4 linked regions of the Danio rerio genome follow. The protein of the gene in region 1 interacts with the protein of each later gene in a pairwise test. Links are inferred from orthologs where the notes say so. Each region holds a gene or a part of one and is shown in the gene's direction. Other genes may lie near its edges.

The links.
Region 2: the proteins of morn4 (region 1) and hmmr interact in binary tests that used the Homo sapiens proteins (3 or more experiments, as listed by UniProt). The two-hybrid records come from large-scale screens. The link is inferred for Danio rerio from reciprocal best matches to the Homo sapiens genes MORN4 and HMMR.
Region 3: the proteins of morn4 (region 1) and ranbp3a interact in a two-hybrid assay, tested with the Homo sapiens proteins (2 studies listed by BioGRID). The two-hybrid records come from large-scale screens. The link is inferred for Danio rerio from reciprocal best matches to the Homo sapiens genes MORN4 and RANBP3.
Region 4: the proteins of morn4 (region 1) and bend3 interact in binary tests that used the Homo sapiens proteins (3 or more experiments, as listed by UniProt). The two-hybrid records come from large-scale screens. The link is inferred for Danio rerio from reciprocal best matches to the Homo sapiens genes MORN4 and BEND3.

What each region holds. Positions count from the first base shown.
Region 1 is NC_133188.1:44,272,952-44,277,378, reverse strand, and holds the start of morn4 (MORN repeat-containing protein 4), read left to right. Parts: upstream 1-1,297; 5' UTR 1,298-1,417; intron 1,418-1,748; 5' UTR 1,749-1,760; coding exon 1,761-1,827; intron 1,828-4,427. UniProt on the Homo sapiens protein: Plays a role in promoting axonal degeneration following neuronal injury by toxic insult or trauma.
Region 2 is NC_133189.1:32,876,231-32,880,207, forward strand, and holds part of hmmr (hyaluronan mediated motility receptor), read left to right. Parts: intron 1-1,889; coding exon 1,890-1,955; intron 1,956-2,088; coding exon 2,089-2,162; intron 2,163-2,295; coding exon 2,296-2,366; intron 2,367-2,450; coding exon 2,451-2,818; intron 2,819-3,209; coding exon 3,210-3,358; intron 3,359-3,977. UniProt on the Homo sapiens protein: Receptor for hyaluronic acid (HA). Involved in cell motility. When hyaluronan binds to HMMR, the phosphorylation of a number of proteins, including PTK2/FAK1 occurs.
Region 3 is NC_133186.1:6,421,972-6,426,698, forward strand, and holds the start of ranbp3a (ran-binding protein 3a), read left to right. Parts: upstream 1-1,489; 5' UTR 1,490-1,505; coding exon of another isoform or gene 1,506-1,527; intron 1,528-4,727. UniProt on the Homo sapiens protein: Acts as a cofactor for XPO1/CRM1-mediated nuclear export, perhaps as export complex scaffolding protein. Bound to XPO1/CRM1, stabilizes the XPO1/CRM1-cargo interaction. In the absence of Ran-bound GTP prevents binding of XPO1/CRM1 to the nuclear pore complex.
Region 4 is NC_133188.1:36,077,915-36,082,656, reverse strand, and holds the start of bend3 (BEN domain-containing protein 3), read left to right. Parts: upstream 1-1,636; 5' UTR 1,637-1,799; exon of another isoform or gene 1,800-2,342; intron 2,343-2,432; 5' UTR 2,433-2,435; coding exon 2,436-2,487; intron 2,488-3,343; coding exon 3,344-3,492; intron 3,493-4,704; coding exon 4,705-4,742. UniProt on the Homo sapiens protein: Transcriptional repressor which associates with the NoRC (nucleolar remodeling complex) complex and plays a key role in repressing rDNA transcription.

The sequences.
Region 1 (4,427 bases):
TATAGAAGTGCCTTGAAAATTATCTAGTCAAATATTATTTATGGTCATCATGGCAAAGATAAAAGAAATCAGTTATTAGAAATGAGTTATCAAAACTATTATGTTTAGAAATGTTTTGAAAAATCTGCTCTCTGTTAAACAGAAATTGGGGAAAAAAATAAACAGGGGGGCAAATAATTCAGGTGGGTTAACAATTCTGATTGCACCTGTATATAAGAACACTAGTAATTTAATCAGATTTAGGGTTAAAAAAAATAATGGTTTATGTCAAAAAAAAAGTTTTTATTACCGAATAATATTTCTGCTATTAATTGAAATAATCCATTGAGAATTTTATTTGCATAAAGAATCTGACTGCAGCCAGTGTTCCGCACAGAGATATGATCTCACAATTTATTTTTCTAATTCATGAAACGTAGATTAAGAAACTGTTCACAGTGAGGATAAAGTTGCTCAGACAAAATAAAATACCTGTATAATATTCCTCCTTAATAAAATATTACAAAATGGGCCAAATTATGCTATAATTAAAATGCTGAAAGACAAAGTGCATGCTGTAATTGTAAATAATCTGTTGACTGTGTTAATGGCTAGCAAATGGGACTTCCATAACAATTTCTTACTCAAATTGTTTATCAAAATTAATGTACATAAAAGTGTAGCAACAATTCGCAGAACATTAGAATAAACCTAAACTAATACAAGCTTAAAAATAGGACATCTCAATTTAATTTAGGAAGAGTTAAATAAGTTAAATGCCCACTTTAGAAAAACATAACCATGGGTTTATTATAGTACAAGTGTAGTAATGATGATGTTTTGGCAGATTTATTACCATAACCGCAAGTTTACTGCATATACCATGGTTAGCTATGGTGTCAAAGTCATGCATACTTTTGGTTTAGCTACAGAAACATGTTTGTGGTAAAACATTTCCTTTATCAAACTGTTATCAAAAATATTGTATCGTGTTGTTAACAGTACTAAACACAGACATAAATTACAACATATAAATTAAGGCTAATAAACTCCCGTCACTGTTTCAGTAATTGTGTTTGTTGTTTAAGGTGGTCTAACTGTACTGCCTTGAATGAAAAAAAAAGGTTAGTTCAAATAGCAAACCTTAAAATAGGCAGCAGCAGTGACAGCATTACTTACCTTTGTAAACAGCACTAATGAGAAGAGTCCGTATCACGTTACCCTTGCCAGTGTGGCTCTTTTGTAGACATTGATCAGCCAATCAGCGCTCGCTGAGAGAAGCACAACATAAAACATCGCGAGATCTTTAAGGACAGAGAGATTCAGCGAGAGGAACTGAAACACCGGCGAGCCAGGACCCAATTTTCTCTGTATCTGCGGATCCGCTGGACAAAGCGAAAGGGTTTCATGCTCTTCAGACCGCATATAAACATAACAGGTAAATGAAATCTCCATTTGCTGGCGTGAAATAACGCGAAACGGGTTTTCACAGGCTGTAATTGAGAAGTGGGATGACGTCACCTCAGCCGCTGCTTTCTTTTAGTCCGTAAATGTTTAAACGTGTTCGGCGTAAATGAACCGTTACATTATAAATGATACAGTATCGGCTAAAATTAACCACCACAGGGCTCACTCTGTTAGACTGAGCTTTACACTGTACACAATACGACTGTGTGTGGGCTTAGGTGATGTTCTGTTCATGATCTGCTTATTACATTAGTGTAATTCTGCCACCTAACGTTATTGATATTCATCTGTTTTGTGTGCAGCTTGGTGGAGGTATGACATTAACCAGGGGCTCCTTCACTTATTCCAGTGGAGAAGAATATACCGGAGAATGGAAGGAAGGCAAGACATTTCTGAATCACTTTGCATTGCTTTTGAATGATCATTTTTAATAAATAGAGCAGGTTGTCACGTGGTTTCACATATGCACATAAAGGCTATAAATTATGGAATTAGTTTACATTAAACATTACTGTCAGATACACAAACACACACATGCGCATATATATATATATATATATATATATATATATATATATATATATATATATATATATATATATATATATATATATATATATATATATATATATATACACATACACACACACACACACACACACACAGTTGAAGTCAGAACTATAGCCCCTCTGAATTATTAGCCCCGTTTATTTTTTTACCCAATTTCTGTTTAACAGAGAGATATTTTTCAACACATTTCTAAATATTATCGCTTTAATAACTAATTTCTAATAACTGATTTATTTTATCTTTGCCATGATGACAGTACATAATACTTTACTGGATATTTTTATATCTATCAACATATTCGTTAGACTATCGAAAAAACATATAGCTTAAAGGGGTTAATAATTTTGACCTTAAAAATTAAAAACTGCTTTCATTCTAGCTGAAATAAAAAATATAAGACTTACTCCTGAAGAAAAAATAATATCAGATATACTGTGAAAATTTCCTTGCTCTGTTAAACATCATTTGGAAAAAATTAAAAAAGAAAAAAATCTAAAGGGGATAATAATTCTGACTTCAACTATATATATATAGCAAACTATTAGACAAAGTTGCAATTTGGTGTTAATAAAATTACAAAAGTCATTTTTTATGCAGAGAAAGCAAAGTACCTATTTTGTTTCAAATATATGTTGTAAATAAAATTATATTAATATATTTTTTTTGTTTGTTTTAAAAGGTTTTTATTGAGATATTCATTGCATTGCATTGCACAGCATTACAGTAAATATTACATCTCTATTTTTTTTGCAAAAATAAATAATTAATAAAAAATTATTTAAAAATAAATAAATAATTTGTAAACCCAGAATACACTTTTCAAAAAACACAAAATGCTTAACCTCTAAACCCCCCACCCCTGGGACCAAAGCTTATGCAGTAATGTTGGTGTGACCTTCACCATGTGGGTTTTTAACCTACGCTTTCAAGATAGAGGAGAAGAGGAGACCAAATATTGTCAATTTGTTTTCAATTTCTTTGCCATAAGAAATCTGATTATTTCCAAATATGCTAATTTAGGTAATTCTTCCAGCCAAGATCTAAATGATGAGGATTGTGTTGATTTCCAAAACCTTACCACTAGCTTCTTTGCCACAATAAGGCTGTAAGACAACAGTTGTTTTTGAGAATCCTGGAGTGATCTAGTTTTGTCTGAAATTCCGAATATGACCAAAAGTGGGTTGAAAACTGTTTCACAGTGTAAAATTTTAGATAGTTTTAAATATTTCAGCCTAGAATAGGATCAACACAGAGTATAACTATGTAAGGAAGTGGCTAACTCCATCTTGCATTTATCACAGAATAAATCTACATTTTTAAATGGGTGAAAATATGTTCCATGGTCATTCAGTATAACAGATGTATTTATGTAAAAATAAACAACACACTTATTTTGACTTGCACTAATAATAAGTGATAAATAATATATTTTACATTATTTTAATTGATTAAACGTGTTGGTAACAAGTGGGTTAAACCTTTGGGGTTGGGTTAAATTTTTTTTATGTCTTTTAATGTCATTAATTCATTTGTGTTTTAAATAAGCACAAAAATACTTTTTTTGTATATTATTGCTACTCTAAAATGCAGTTTTAGTATTTTTGGGATGGGTGAAAATCCCATTTTTAAATGGGTGAAAATATGTTCCATGGTCATTCAGTATAACAGATGTATTTATGTAAAAATAAACAACACACTTATTTTGACTTGCACTAATAATAAGTGATAAATAATATATTTTACATTATTTTAATTGATTAAACGTGTTGGTAACAAGTGGGTTAAACCTTTGGGGTTGGGTTAAAAATTTTTTATGTCTTTTAATGTCATTAATTCATTTGTGTTTTAAATAAGCACAAAAATACTTTTTTTGTATATTATTGCTACTCTAAAATGCAGTTTTAGTATTTTTGGGATGGGTGAAAATCCCATTTTTAAATGGGTGAAAATATGTTCCATGGTCATTCAGTATAACAGATGTATTTATGTAAAAATAAACAACACACTTATTTTGACTTGCACTAATAATAAGTGATAAATAATACATTTTACATTATTTTAATTGATTAAACGTGTTGGTAACAAGTGGGTTAAACCTTTGGAGTTGGGTTAAAAAATGTTTATGTCTTTTAATATGTCATAGATTCATTTGTGTTTTAAATAAGCACAAAAATACTTTTTTTGTATACTATTGTTACTCTAAAATGCAGTTTTAGTATTTTTGGGAGATTTTCATTATTTTCGTTTAAAAAGGAAATTAAAAGGACTTAACAACAATAACAAAAAATGGTAAAGAGATGTAAAATTAGTTTAAAATTAGTCCTTTACAGAATAAAACAAAGATTATGTTTACTAAAATTCATGAACAAGTAAATTGTCATTTTTAAAAAGTTAAAGATTTACCTGTCAAA
Region 2 (3,977 bases), on another chromosome or scaffold:
GAGTCTCTTTGAGGAGCTGCTTGTATGATATTGTATATATGTAAATAAAACCACTATTTATAATATATCTGAAAATTGCTAACAGCAACTTTAAAAACAAATGATAATATTATATGATCTGATCACAATGCATTTTCATTTGAGATTTAAATGTAATGTTGAAAATACATTTTGTGCTCTCTCAGGACTCTAAATTTGGTCCCCTTATACTCAATCTATGTAGTTATTAATGCACACAGAAATTTAGCAAAAATAAGAGCTTTTCACAACATCCAGATTTATTATTTGTCTGACCTGAATTTTTCAGGCTTCTCCAAAAAACTGATACAGTGAGTCTCTCAGAAGTGTTCTCTGAAGACCCTGTCAGATGTATTTATTTTATTTATTGTTTGAAGTTGTTGGCTGTCAGTAGCAAAATGTTATTTTTGTCAGATGAACCAGGAACATTTGACTGTCTTTTTGTCAAATAGCTTAAAATATCAGTTATGTCTGATATCCAAAACTAGTCAACAGATTTTTGGCCTCAAACACAAAAGGAAAAAAAAAAAAGCCAGTGTACAAATTTTTTCAAACTTTTTTTTCAAAGGCTTGTCATGCTGAGCAAAAGGAAGCAGGAAATGAAGTTACTTATTTTGAACACCAATGTTCAAATGTATTATTTTTGGAATATTCGTGAAATTAAAAGGGTAGTTCACACCAAAAAAATGAAAGTTTACGCCTCATTTACTCTCCCAAAAGTATATCCAAAACCTTTCAGTTTTATTTTCTGTTAAACAAGAAACAAGATGTTTGGAAAAGAGCTGAAAAACTGTAACCATTGACTTTCATAGTATTTGTTTTTCCAACTATGGAAGTTGATGATTACAGGTTTCCAACTTTCTTCAAAATAAATTTTTTGGTGTTTAACCTAAAAAAACAACAGGTTTGGAACAAGTAAATGGTGACATCATTTTCATATTTGGGTTAAATATTCGTTTAATGCTTTTAATCATTAAAAATAAATAGCTTTTCAAGTAGTACAAGATATTTTTCGTTGAATTGTGTCTTTGTTGTTTTGAACAAGTTTTGATCATGAATGTTACATCAATAGCACTAAGAAATGTTACTTGAGCAGCAAATAGGGTAAATGCACAGCTAGTGTTTCTTCCCATACCGATAAACTTCTGGTGATCAGTTAATGTGACTTTATTTTATACAGTTCCTTTTGCAGCATCGATGCTGTGGTGAATCTAAAATATAATCAGTTAAATAGACTTTGGCATTGATTTAGTTGTAGAAGCGTAAACTGAGATGAAAATACTGGAGTAAAATTAATTTGAATATTTAAAAGACATGGTGCAGGAAAGTGTCCTTTAATGCAGTGCTTCTTGTACATTCTGAGACCCTTATCAGAGTTATATATCATTTAGGCAGTGAAGATTGTTGATTTTTAAAGAAAACGCACCTTAAACGTTACAGTTTTTTAATCACATACAGTTCACTGGAAGTGTTTGACCCAAGTTACTGACAAATTAAAAGTCCTTCTGCACATACCCTATTGGTTTAAGTTATGAGCATACTAATTTGAATTAATAAACTGAAAATATATTATTATTATTATTATATTTTAAATGTTAAGTTTTAAAATATACAGCCACTTTGGCCAAAAGATAAAGATAACTGAATATTAGATTTTTATATTGTTATTTCTGTTTGTTTAATTTGTAAAAAAAAAAATCACAGTAATGTTGGAGCAATACAGTGACATTTGATTTCTGATTTTCCAGTCAACTGGTTTTAAAAACATTTATTTATTGTTTTCAATGATTACTAATAAATGATTACTTTAAAGCATGTATAATTAATGATGACAATCTGACAATTTTTCTTATTACTAAAAATTTTTTCAGAGGACCTACATCAGGAAACAAGAGCCCAAAATGAGCTGCTTGAAAATGAAATGGACAAATTGCATAGTAAGTTTGCATGCTAGGACCTGTGTTTGTTTTATAATGTTATATTGTTTATATATTTATATTCTGCATCTTATATTGGTTTTTATAATATTACATTGCTTTTTTACTCCTTTTTTTACTTCTGCAAATGAAGACATAATCCAGGAACTGAGGGAGGAGATCAAAGCTCTGCAGAGTTACTTGGACTCAGCGAATGAAGAGATTCAGGTATTGGTTTTGGTCAACAGAATTTGACTCTCCTAAGCCAGTTGACATTTATTCACCCTTAAGTTGAATCATCAGTCTTTGAAGTGCTGCTTGGTTTGAGATAAGCTGTCTGTCTCACTCTCCAATGTCAAAGGATTTGCGGATTAAGCTCCAGGACAAATCCACCATGGAGCGCCGGGTGTCTGATGCTCAGGAAAACCTCAGGTTAGAGCTGCGTGCATTTTATTATTGTTGTTTTCATGGTATCAGTGTACACATCTTCATCCGTCTTTATTCGGCTCTGTGCAGTGAAGTGGAGCAGAAGTTGGAGAAATGTACCGCTGAGCTGCAGGAGTGTCAGGAGGCACTGAAAGTAAAGGAAGATGAGGTGCAGAGGTCTAAGCAGGAGCTGCGGGACTCCCAGAACGCCCTAGAAGAGAAGGAGAAAGAGATAGAGCAGCATGCGCAGGACCTGCAGGAATCTCAGAGCTCGCTAAAAGAGTTGGAGGAACGGATGAAGCAGGGGGATCGGGATCTTGAGGAATCCTGGAGCTTGGTAAGGCAGCAGGAGCAGGAGCTGGCCCGTGTAAAGGAAGTCTTGAGAAGGACTGAGGAAGAGCTGGATCAGCGTGTGGCACTCATGGGGGAACGGTGCTCGCTGCTGGAGGATGAAAGAGGTAAATTTATTAAAAAAAAAAAAAAATGTAAAAATCTTTATTTAAAGTCTAAAAAGTCTCATTTAATAATTGTGTTCTACTCTAGGTCCTCCTTTGTACCACTAATGGTACCTCTTAAACTGATTTAAAAGCTACCAAAGCATACTTTAAAATGTGTTGTGGTGTAGCTTTCTTTCACTAGTTCAAAATTAATCTGCCAGTATTGCAACTGTATAACTAGTATAACTACAAATAGAAGCAACATTGTGATACAGGTCTTAAATTTCCTTCACAGTGGCCTTCAGTTCTTAGTCTTAAATTTAATTTGGTGAGACCTGCAGAAACCTTGATTATGTAGATATTGTGTATTCTATTTGATTTGACGGGCTTGTTTATATGTGATTGTATGCAGCAAAGATGCAAGAGGAGGGTCTGCGACAGGTAGAGGAGCTCAAGGCAGAACTCTGCTCGTTGGAGGAGAGCAGAAAGACTGAGACGGAGGCATACGAAAAGCTGAAGGAGGAGCACTGTGCAGTAACCAAACAACTGGAGGAGGAAAAGGTAATCAAGAGAACAGATATTTAGGTGAAGTTTACACTTGTACTAAAGGGATTGTTCACTGAAACATGAACATTAGCTGGTAATTAACCTGGCCTGAAGAGCCGCTTTATAGAAGAAACTGAAATATAATGTTTATTACTGGAATTCTTGCATTAAAGTATCCATAGAGTGCATTGATTTAATGTATGAAATTGTTCTTTGATATTTACATAGTAGGTATGTGGCTTATGTAGGTAAAAAATCTTCGGAAATGTATTTATATGCATGTGTATAACTAGAAGAATTTCCCCAAGAATGAAAAGCACAGTTTTGACTATATTTGGACCTGACCTTATTCCTCTTTGGGGTGCTGCGGAATCAATGTATAATCCGTATTTTGCATTCTGACGAGTTGTAAACCGATGACTCACGGCCAACATTCTTCAAAATATTTAGTTTTTTTTAAGTGTTTAACTAGTCTTAAATGAACCGAAATGTATGTATGTATATATGTGTGTGTATATATATATATATATATATATATATATATATATATATATATATATATATATATATATATATATATATATATATATATATATATATATATATATATATAGTAATTAATACCTTTGAGTTT
Region 3 (4,727 bases), on another chromosome or scaffold:
TGTACTTTACAAACACAGCAAAAACAGGCAACAAAAAATCCAGCATAATTGAAATTCTATATAAATAAATAAAAATAAAAAACAAAAGGAAGACACCAAAAACAGATTTATATTAGCTTACGATAGACAGAGCTTTTACATTTTTTTTTACAGCTTTAAGAGACTTCATTAGCAGAATAAGTTTGTTGAAAAATACTATGTATAAAGGAGGAGTTTTTGAACATTCTACATTTGTGGATAAAGAATTTACCATTAAAAATAATAAAATTAACAAGTTGTTAATTAGTTTATCACCCTTTTCAAAATAACAAATAATTTATTTTCCATTCAATGTTATCAACATATTATTTTTAGCAGAATAATCAGAAAAAGATCTTTCTCAATATCTAAAAATTTGGAAAGTAACACGTTGGTTGGGTATATTTATTGTAAAATTTTTAAATTAATTTCTCTTACTTTATTTTAAATGCAAAATTTGTATGGTAGCAGCCATGCTTTTCTCCAATTGACCTCCCATAATAACGAATTCCAATAAAATTTCCCTCTTGGAATAACTCTATTTTTATCATCAAATACTTGCCTAATGTATTTGTTAGTACATTTTTGTCAAATATATTTTTACGATTTATCAGGAAATTACATTCTTTATTTTATATCTTATAATAGGTCAAATGACTGTACATGTACCATTAAATTAAGGAGTCTCGAGGGGATATCTTGATCACTGTTGAAAATTCTTTAAATTTAACAGGAAAATTGAACTTAGATAAAAATGATTTATATGAATAAATCCTTAAAGATTAATTAAATATATCACTTACATGTACCAATATTTTCCAACAATTTCTCCAAATATAAACTCTTTTCTTTAACAGTAACTTATTCCAAATTTTCATTCTGTGTGGAGAAAAAATTATACACAAAGCAAAGTTTCCAAGCCGAGAGTGCTTGCTCATGAAATTTAGATCATTTTACTGGTAATTTTGATGGTGAAAAATTGCAAGTCAAAAGAAACTTGAGACCATCCACCTTCTTGAAGATACTGTGTGGAATAAAAAACAAAAACATCATGAATTAGGGTCAACGGCACATTTTTTTCATCCTAATAATCTTGAATGTATTGTTCATAGCTATATAATCTAACATCTCAAAGCCTCCAAATAACATCTCAGCTTTTTTTCATTTATTTTTTTTATTAAACAACAACTAATATACATTTTAAACATGACATCCAAAAAATACAAATGTAACTAATAACATAAAATAAACAAAAAATAAATTACATAAAATAAATAACGAGACAATTCAACATAAAGATCTTTACAATTATATTATTTTAACCTATTTAATTGACAATAACTTTACTAGTCAATTAACTTCAGCTCCTTTGCCACTATAATTGTATTTTGACATTTTTAATAATAACATCTCTGCTAACACAACCCTGTCGACACTATTGCGTCATTGTAAAGCGCGGGGGATTATGGTTAGTCAGCGGAAGTAAGATGGCGGAGGAGACAGCTGAGGGTAAGTGATGTTTATGTCTGAATTACTGGTTAAGCATCCTCCGTGCCCGTTTATTTACTATAACGACTCGCGTTATGTGAGAAACTGTTTGGAGTTGATAGATTTATTAACGTAATAATGTCGTAGCGTTCAAACAGACCTGCATAATCAGAGATATGACTAATGTTTACATACAATCACATTATTTATGATTGAAAGTGTAGTGCGGGTATATGTGATTCGGTTTATAAATAATAGGCTTAACGTTATGTAGTTCCTTTATTACACTAGGCAGTGTTTATTGTTCAGGTTTATTTCTTGTAACGCACGTTATAGTGGGTGTGTGAGTTTGAAACATCTGCGTTTGAGATAAGAGGCATTGCTGTATAGTACGTTATGCTCTTTCCAGCTTGAAATGTCAACAGTAATGTGACTTTGAATGCTATAACTCTTCTACTATACCTTTATCTTAAACCAGATGATAATTCATTCGTTGTTCCAACATTACCAGAGCATTACAAAACAACAAGTGTACAACAATTCTTTACATTTGAGGTAAAGTTGGCTTTATATTCGCACATTATGTCTTCCCTGCTGAAAAAGAAACAGCCTAAACCTGCCTAAGCTGGTTGACTGGTTTTAGCTGGTCGACCAGCCTGGTTTTAGAGGGGTTTTGACCATTTCCAGTCTGGTTTCTAGCCTGGTCTTAGCTGATCAGGCTAAAAAATAACCAGCCAAAGCCAACCTTAAAGAACTGGTTTAAGCTGGACATAGCTGGTTTTGGCTAGGCTGGTCAAGTTGGATATGGCCTGGCCAGCTAAGACCTGGTTGGAAATGTCAAAACCCCCTCTAAAACAAGGCAGACTGGTTGAAGCTGTTTTTTTTTTTTTTAGAAGGGTTTCTCTTTAATAATATTATTTCAGAATCAGAAAATTATTTTTTTTTGCAAATTCTAAAAAGGGAAATTGTTTTTTTTTTCAGCCAAAGATGATCAAAGTAAAACATTTTCACAGTCAAATAAATAGTGGCAATGTTGTTTTTAAAGTCATACCTACAATTAAGATCGAATATTCAAAGTAGCATGTCAAAATTGGCTCAGAAATGAACAAATGTGCAAATATAAAACCAACTTTACCCCGATGTCTTTACAGGCTGCAACAGATAATAACATTATCTGTATGATTATCAATAACATTTCACAATTTTACTACTTGTACTGTATTTTTGATCAAATAAATGCAGCCTTGGTGAGCAGGAGAAGCTTGATTTAAAACATTTAAAAATCCTACTGACCCCAAACGTTTTACAGGTAGTGTATATTTAGGACAAGGATCACAGTTCAGCATAAAAATACTAATTAAACATTTTTACTTTTCCACTTTTTCTTGTCAGCAATAAGTTATTTTTTTTTTATTATTAATTAAAAGTTTTAATGATTATTTATTCATGTATTTTGTATATTTTAATATATATTGTGCATGTTTTCTTTCTTTTTTTTCTACATAAATGCATATTTTAAATGCAACTTTAATTCATTTATTTTCCTTCGGGTTAGTCCCTTTATTCATGAGGGGTCACCACATATTTAGCATATGTTTTACAAAGTGAATGCCCTTTTAGCTGCAACCCAGTACTGGGAAACAACTATACACATTATATATATATATATATATATATATATATATATATATAACCATTCACATCCACAAGAGGTAAAATAGGAGGGTACTTCCAGCGGGATTCCTCTCCATCAACTTGATAACATTAATTGGATTCATAAATTTCTCTAAACTACTGCCTCGATCAACACAAAACAGGTGTCATTAGAAAGCTTAGATTTTGGTTTCTATAATGCATGTAGTGATTTTGATTAACTTCAGTGTAGTGCTGAGTTAGTTGCTATCAAACAAGAACAAAGCAATCGTAATTTATGATTCTGTGATGTGAAAAACACCATATAGCTCTGAAAGTCTTGTCATATATCATTTAGATATATAAAAAGGCATATTTGTTTGGGGTGTTGTCTAAAATTGAGCGAATGCTTGTATGCGATGTTCCCCCTGACCCATATGTCAGTAATATAGATGTCATTTATGTGATGTGACTTCATTGTCAGATCATGGTAAATCATACAGTATTCACAACAGATTTTTGTAATTGAGCCTGGACTCACCGCAATGTGAAAGTAAACGTCACAAAACTGTCTCTAGTCGTGGAAAATCGAACATTATTCATAGCAGATTTACCCGATTACTAAAGCTTAAGCTCACCATAATCCATATTCATCATGAAGACCGCACAGAAACACACATAGTTAAGTACATACTATTGATGAATTATTGTTGTGGTTTTTCTACTCGTAACTTTGTGAAACATGCTCCGATCCTAATAAATTACACATTGTTTAGCACTAAAGTAACGATGCTCAGTCAAAGAGATTTGAAGATATATCATATTGAGTTGTTGTTTATGTCGTTTATTATAAAAACAAAGCCAGATTTTCTGTCATGCTTTGACTTGCAACTTCATAATACTTGCTCAGATTGTAATAAGTGGCACAAGTTTTTTTTTTATACAGCAGATTTAACTTAATTCCTTTTTTGTATCGAAAGTTGCCATTCATTCATTCATTTCGGCTTAGTCCCTTTATTAATCTGGAGTCGCCACAGCGGAATGAACCGCCAACTTATCCAGCACGTTTTTATGAAGCGGATGCCCTTCCAGCCGCAACCCATCTCTGGGAAACGAAAGATGCCATGTCATGTCAAATTTAAAAGCTATACTTTTTTTTTCTTCCTATAGACGAACACTGTTTTTACTTTAACAACGTCTCAGCCACTATGTATCGAAAAATGATCATTAACGCGATAATAATACATGCTATATGCAGTGGTTCCTCTAGGATTTTTTCCAGCTGTGGAGGCAGGCCTTTTTTTTACACAGACCTACCAACTTCCTGTGGCGTTATTTCAGTGACAAATGTCGTGAGCGCAGTATTAGAAGTCGAGATCGCATTTATGTAATAGCCTACAAGCATGCAGATCTTTTTGCTTGCGCGCCGATTTCCTCTGCTCGTGCACAAAACTTGCACGCCTCCTCAAATGTACACTTCTCAAGTGCAGATCTTCTTGTGCGCAGTGCACTCTCAAATAAACGCTGCTGAAGTGCGATTCAGTGCGTTTATGTAACGAGTATGTCTCCAACATTTATTAGATTTGCTA
Region 4 (4,742 bases), about 8.2 Mb from region 1:
TTAGATGAGCGTCTGCTGAAATGAGTCTTTAACGAGCAGCGCGAAGCTCCCCGTTCAATGCGCGCGCGCGTCCCACAGAACAGAAGCGCGAGCATCATCGCATGAGCGCGTGATGGATCAAACAGCCCACATTACCTGAATAATGACCGACCGGCGCCTCAACACACCCACATCTCAAAGAGCCACTGCTCCGTGACTTAATGCAGACATCGCTAATGCAGACATTACTAATGCGCGTTACGGGACATTGGTCACATCGGGTGCAGCTGATGATGAGTGTCTGAGAACAGTTTCTGATGGGCGTTTGCGTGCGAGGACGAATATAAGCAGTGGATTTGTTTCACCTATTTGCTTTTATAGTGCATGATGTTGCATTATATTGTGCTAGTCTTGAAACAGACAATGCAGCCAAAAGATAATCTTTAAATGTTATGTTGTAAAGAGTTAGTTTGAGTGTAAGAGTTGTTTTTGAGTGTATTGTTTTGCTGCATCTATCTATCTATCTATCTATCTATCTATCTATCTATCTATCTATCTATCTATCTATCTATCTATCTATCTATCTATCTATCTATCTATCTATCTATCTATCTATCTATCTATCTATCTATCTATCTATCTATCTATCTATCTATCTATCTATCTATCTAATCTATCTGTATTTCTTTCTGTCTAATACAGTTTTGGTGGACATTCACGTTTGCCCTGCAGTACTTGTCATATCCACTAGACGGCAGTTAAGTGGTAGACCGGCTGTAAACAGCATTTAACCGACAGTTAACTTTATCAAAATGTAGAAAATGTAAAACTATGAACAAGTTAAAACGTGCTAAAAGTAGTTCTGGGCTTTAACTGTTAAGGTGAAAAGAAACACATGTAAAAAATATATATTTTAGGTATTTATTTACAGTAGGCTAATTTTACTAACCTAATTTTAGACATTTAAAATCAAAGTTTATACATTTATTTTTTGGCCAAAAGTTGGATTTAGTGAATCAAGCAAATCAAATTAGCTTGGCTATATAAAGACTTGGTCTTTAAGCTATTTCCATAGAACATGTTTTAAAAAAAACAACAACTAGCCTATATTTACAACCCAAATATTTATTGTAAAACCTTTTGTGAGAACAAAGTACAGCCAGACAGTTCGTGGAAACCCACGTTTGCTTTTCTTGGTGTTGCTTACATTTCCAATGTTGACTGAGAATGTACGTCATTTATTTAACTGTACAACATTTAAATCAATGATGTTTTAGATTAACAAAACTTAAAGTAAAAAAACAGTAACAGAAATATAATACAGTCGTTATTTTGCTAAATAGGCTTTATGTATATTTACAAGCTCTGTTCATTTAATAATTTTCGATGTAATAACTTTTACCAAAAGCATGATTTTCTTAAACAAATGCTGCTATATACACCGCATGTGTTTGGTCACAAGCGTCTATGACGTTGGTGATTTTATACTCGTGGAACTCATGCGCGCGACTCGAGGGGCCTCTCGAAATGACTGGGTCACGAGAAGTCCCACACCAGCGCGCACTCCGTGCATTTCACGGCCACGGCGCAGCAGCACGGGGATTCACGTGGGGTGGGCTGGCAAAAACCCACAGCAAACCCACAGCTGTGCGGAAATGACACAGTACCGTCACGTCACGCGAGAGGGCACTGACTAGAGAAAAAAGCAGCGAAGAGAAACACGGACAACAGTTACCCGTGGACAAATCCACTGGATTTAAATACGCGACTATGGCCGATGCCTCGTAACCTATTGCACAGGGCTGCCCGGCGTCGCAAAGGTGAGTTTGATTTCCACCGCGCAGGTAGTTTATGCGCGCCGTGTGGCGAGAGACGGAGCGAAAACTCATCGGTGGATGTTTTTCTTGCCGCGTCACGCAAGAGGGAGAGTTGCGCACGGGGGAGGGAGGGGAGACACGAGAGAGAAGGACAGGACTCAGCATTACTGCAAATACATTAACAGCAGCACATTCTTTCCTAAAGACTTATGAAGTAAGGAGCGCAGCGGGGAGCTGTTTGTCCGACTGACTCCCCGGTTGAACCGATCCGTGGGGTTTCCACTGGAAGAATGAGGAAGTGGAGCCGGTGGCCGGGGGTCTGTACGGTGAAGCAGCGCCTCTCCGGTGCTCTGGCGAGACTTCACGGTGCAAGACATGGAAAACAAATAGGAAAACAACCTCACATAACTCTACCGTGAAGAAAAACCAGTTCGAGAATAAAGTTTTTACATATTTCTTCATTTTCTCACACTTTTCATAAGTTAACATTTGTGACAGTCATGTGCAATACTGACTCAGAAGACAAATGCATCCTTTAAAAAACAAGTAATTATAGAGAAACCTTGACAATGTGACAGTCCGATATTCCGACTGTCAGATATTAAACAATCACGGGTCTTGTGTGTCTCTTCCCAGGACATGAGCTCTTCTCTGTGCATGGTTAATGCAGATGGACAGGTGCCTGATAAAAGTATGTAAAGACTCACAGTAAAAATATTCTAAATTTTCTTTGCTCATGCAGTGAGAACTTTCATTAAACATCAAGGCTTTCTCTGTGTACTAACATGCATCACATCAAATTAACCAGTCTAAATCGAAATTTCCTGTCAAATCAACTGATTTACCTTATCAAATCAAATATAGATGTTGTATTTGGAAGTGGACCTGGTAGGGGTTTATTAGTGACAATATCACATGAAATGAAATAAAGTAGACACTCAAAAATGAAGTTTTACTCCCTTTTTACTCACCTCGAGTGGATACAAACCTTTATAAGTTTTATTATTCTGTTGAACACAAAATAAGTTATTTTGAAGAAAGCTATAAAACTGTAACCATTGACTACCATAGTATTTGTTTTTTTCTATCATGGAAGTCAATGGAAACCTAGCTTTTGTCAATATTGAACAATAAAGGGTGAGTAAAGGATGAACTGCCCCTTTAATGAGAGTGTAAATACAAAAATACACAAAAAGATAGCTGATTTTTAATGCATTTGAACTACATGCTAAGGAATGATTGAATAAAAAAACTATATTGGTTGATTTTGACATTAAAGTCAGCATGACATTAAAATGGACAGTTCTAATTTTTTAAAGAAGTTTGTAATGTTTACCAGGGCACTTATTCCTTTTAATATAAGAACTTCAAAAGGACAGGAAACCGAAAAAAAGTCAAGTTTAAAGAGATGCATGTTACTACCAGCTGTAAATCTGAAAAGGATTAAACAAAGCCAGATCCTGTCACCTCATTACAGCTGCTAAAACTTGTGAGATAATGTTTATCAGTATTTCTTAGTAATTATAAACACTTGGGCTTTTCTCTAGAAGTTAAAGTCGAGAAAGATGCAGAGGACGTTATTGAAAACACAGAGGGAAAGATGGAGAGTTTCTTTAAGAGCATTACAAAACGAGCATCTACAGGTTCTGACGTGGAAAGGCCAAACAGTGGGAAGAGGATCAAGGTGACAACACCGGTAAGCATCTTTAAAACAAAATGTACATTTGTTAAATCACAACATTAATTCCTATGCAGGTTTAGCACAGTATTTGATATGGTAGAAGTTGTCATGATGCGTTAAAAGGATAGTTCACCCAAAATTAAAATTTTCTAATTATTTAATCACCCTTGAGTGGTTCCAAACCTTTACGAGTTTCTTTCTGTTGAACACAATTTTTTTGATATTCTGAATAAAGCTGAAAACATGCAACCACTGACTTCCATAAGAAGAAAAACAAATACTATGGAAGTCAATGGTTGCAGGTTTCCAGCTTTGTAAAGCTTATTTATAAATTAATTCCGATAGGAGCATGTGCTTATGATTGATCACGGCTGCTCCACCATTAGCTAACACACCCCTACTCATCCTCCTTTTCCTTATAGCAGGGGTCACCAATCTCGGTCCTGGAGGGCCGTTGTCCCTGCAGGGTTTAGCTCCAACTTGCTTTTACACACCTGCCTGGATGTTTCAAGTATACCTAGTAAGACCTTGATTAGCTTATTCAGATGTGTTTGATAAGAGTTAGAGCTAAGATCTGGAGGACACCGGCCCTCCAGGAACAAGTTTGGTGACCCCTGCCTTATAGGGTGGCATGATGGTCCAGTGGTTAACTCTGTTGCCTCATAGCAAGAACGTCACTGGCTCAATTCCTTAACAGGCCAGTTGACATTTATGTGCAGAGTTTACATGTTCCCCTGTGCTCACGTGGATTTCCCCCAGGTTCTCCGGTTTTCTCCCACAGTCCAAAGCCATGCATCATAAGTTAATTGACCTATCTAAATTGTCACTACAGTCGAGCTTTTAAGCAGCAGTATATATCTATATAGCAATTCCTGATTTGTTATTAGCCCTAAATAAGGGGTTTCTCGAGACCTACCTAAGCTAAAACTCCCCTCTCACCCTCAAACGGAAGAGAGCCCCAGGCTTGAGGATCCTATGAGCTCAGAGCTTTCTTCTGCATGCCAAACTTACTTTAATAATCAATTATCAGCTAAGTGTGTATTTCAGAATATTTTCTTTTATGATCAAAAGAAGAAAGAAACTCATAAAGGTTTGAAACGAGGATAAGTATATGATGACAGAATTTTCATTTTTGGCTGAACCACCCCTTTAACAAACAGGCAATCTGTTCTCGGACATTGTGTTTGGTGCAAATTATTAACAGCAACATCTCACACTCACTTTTAGGCCGGAGAAAACCTCCTTGACAGCAGTTCAGATGACGG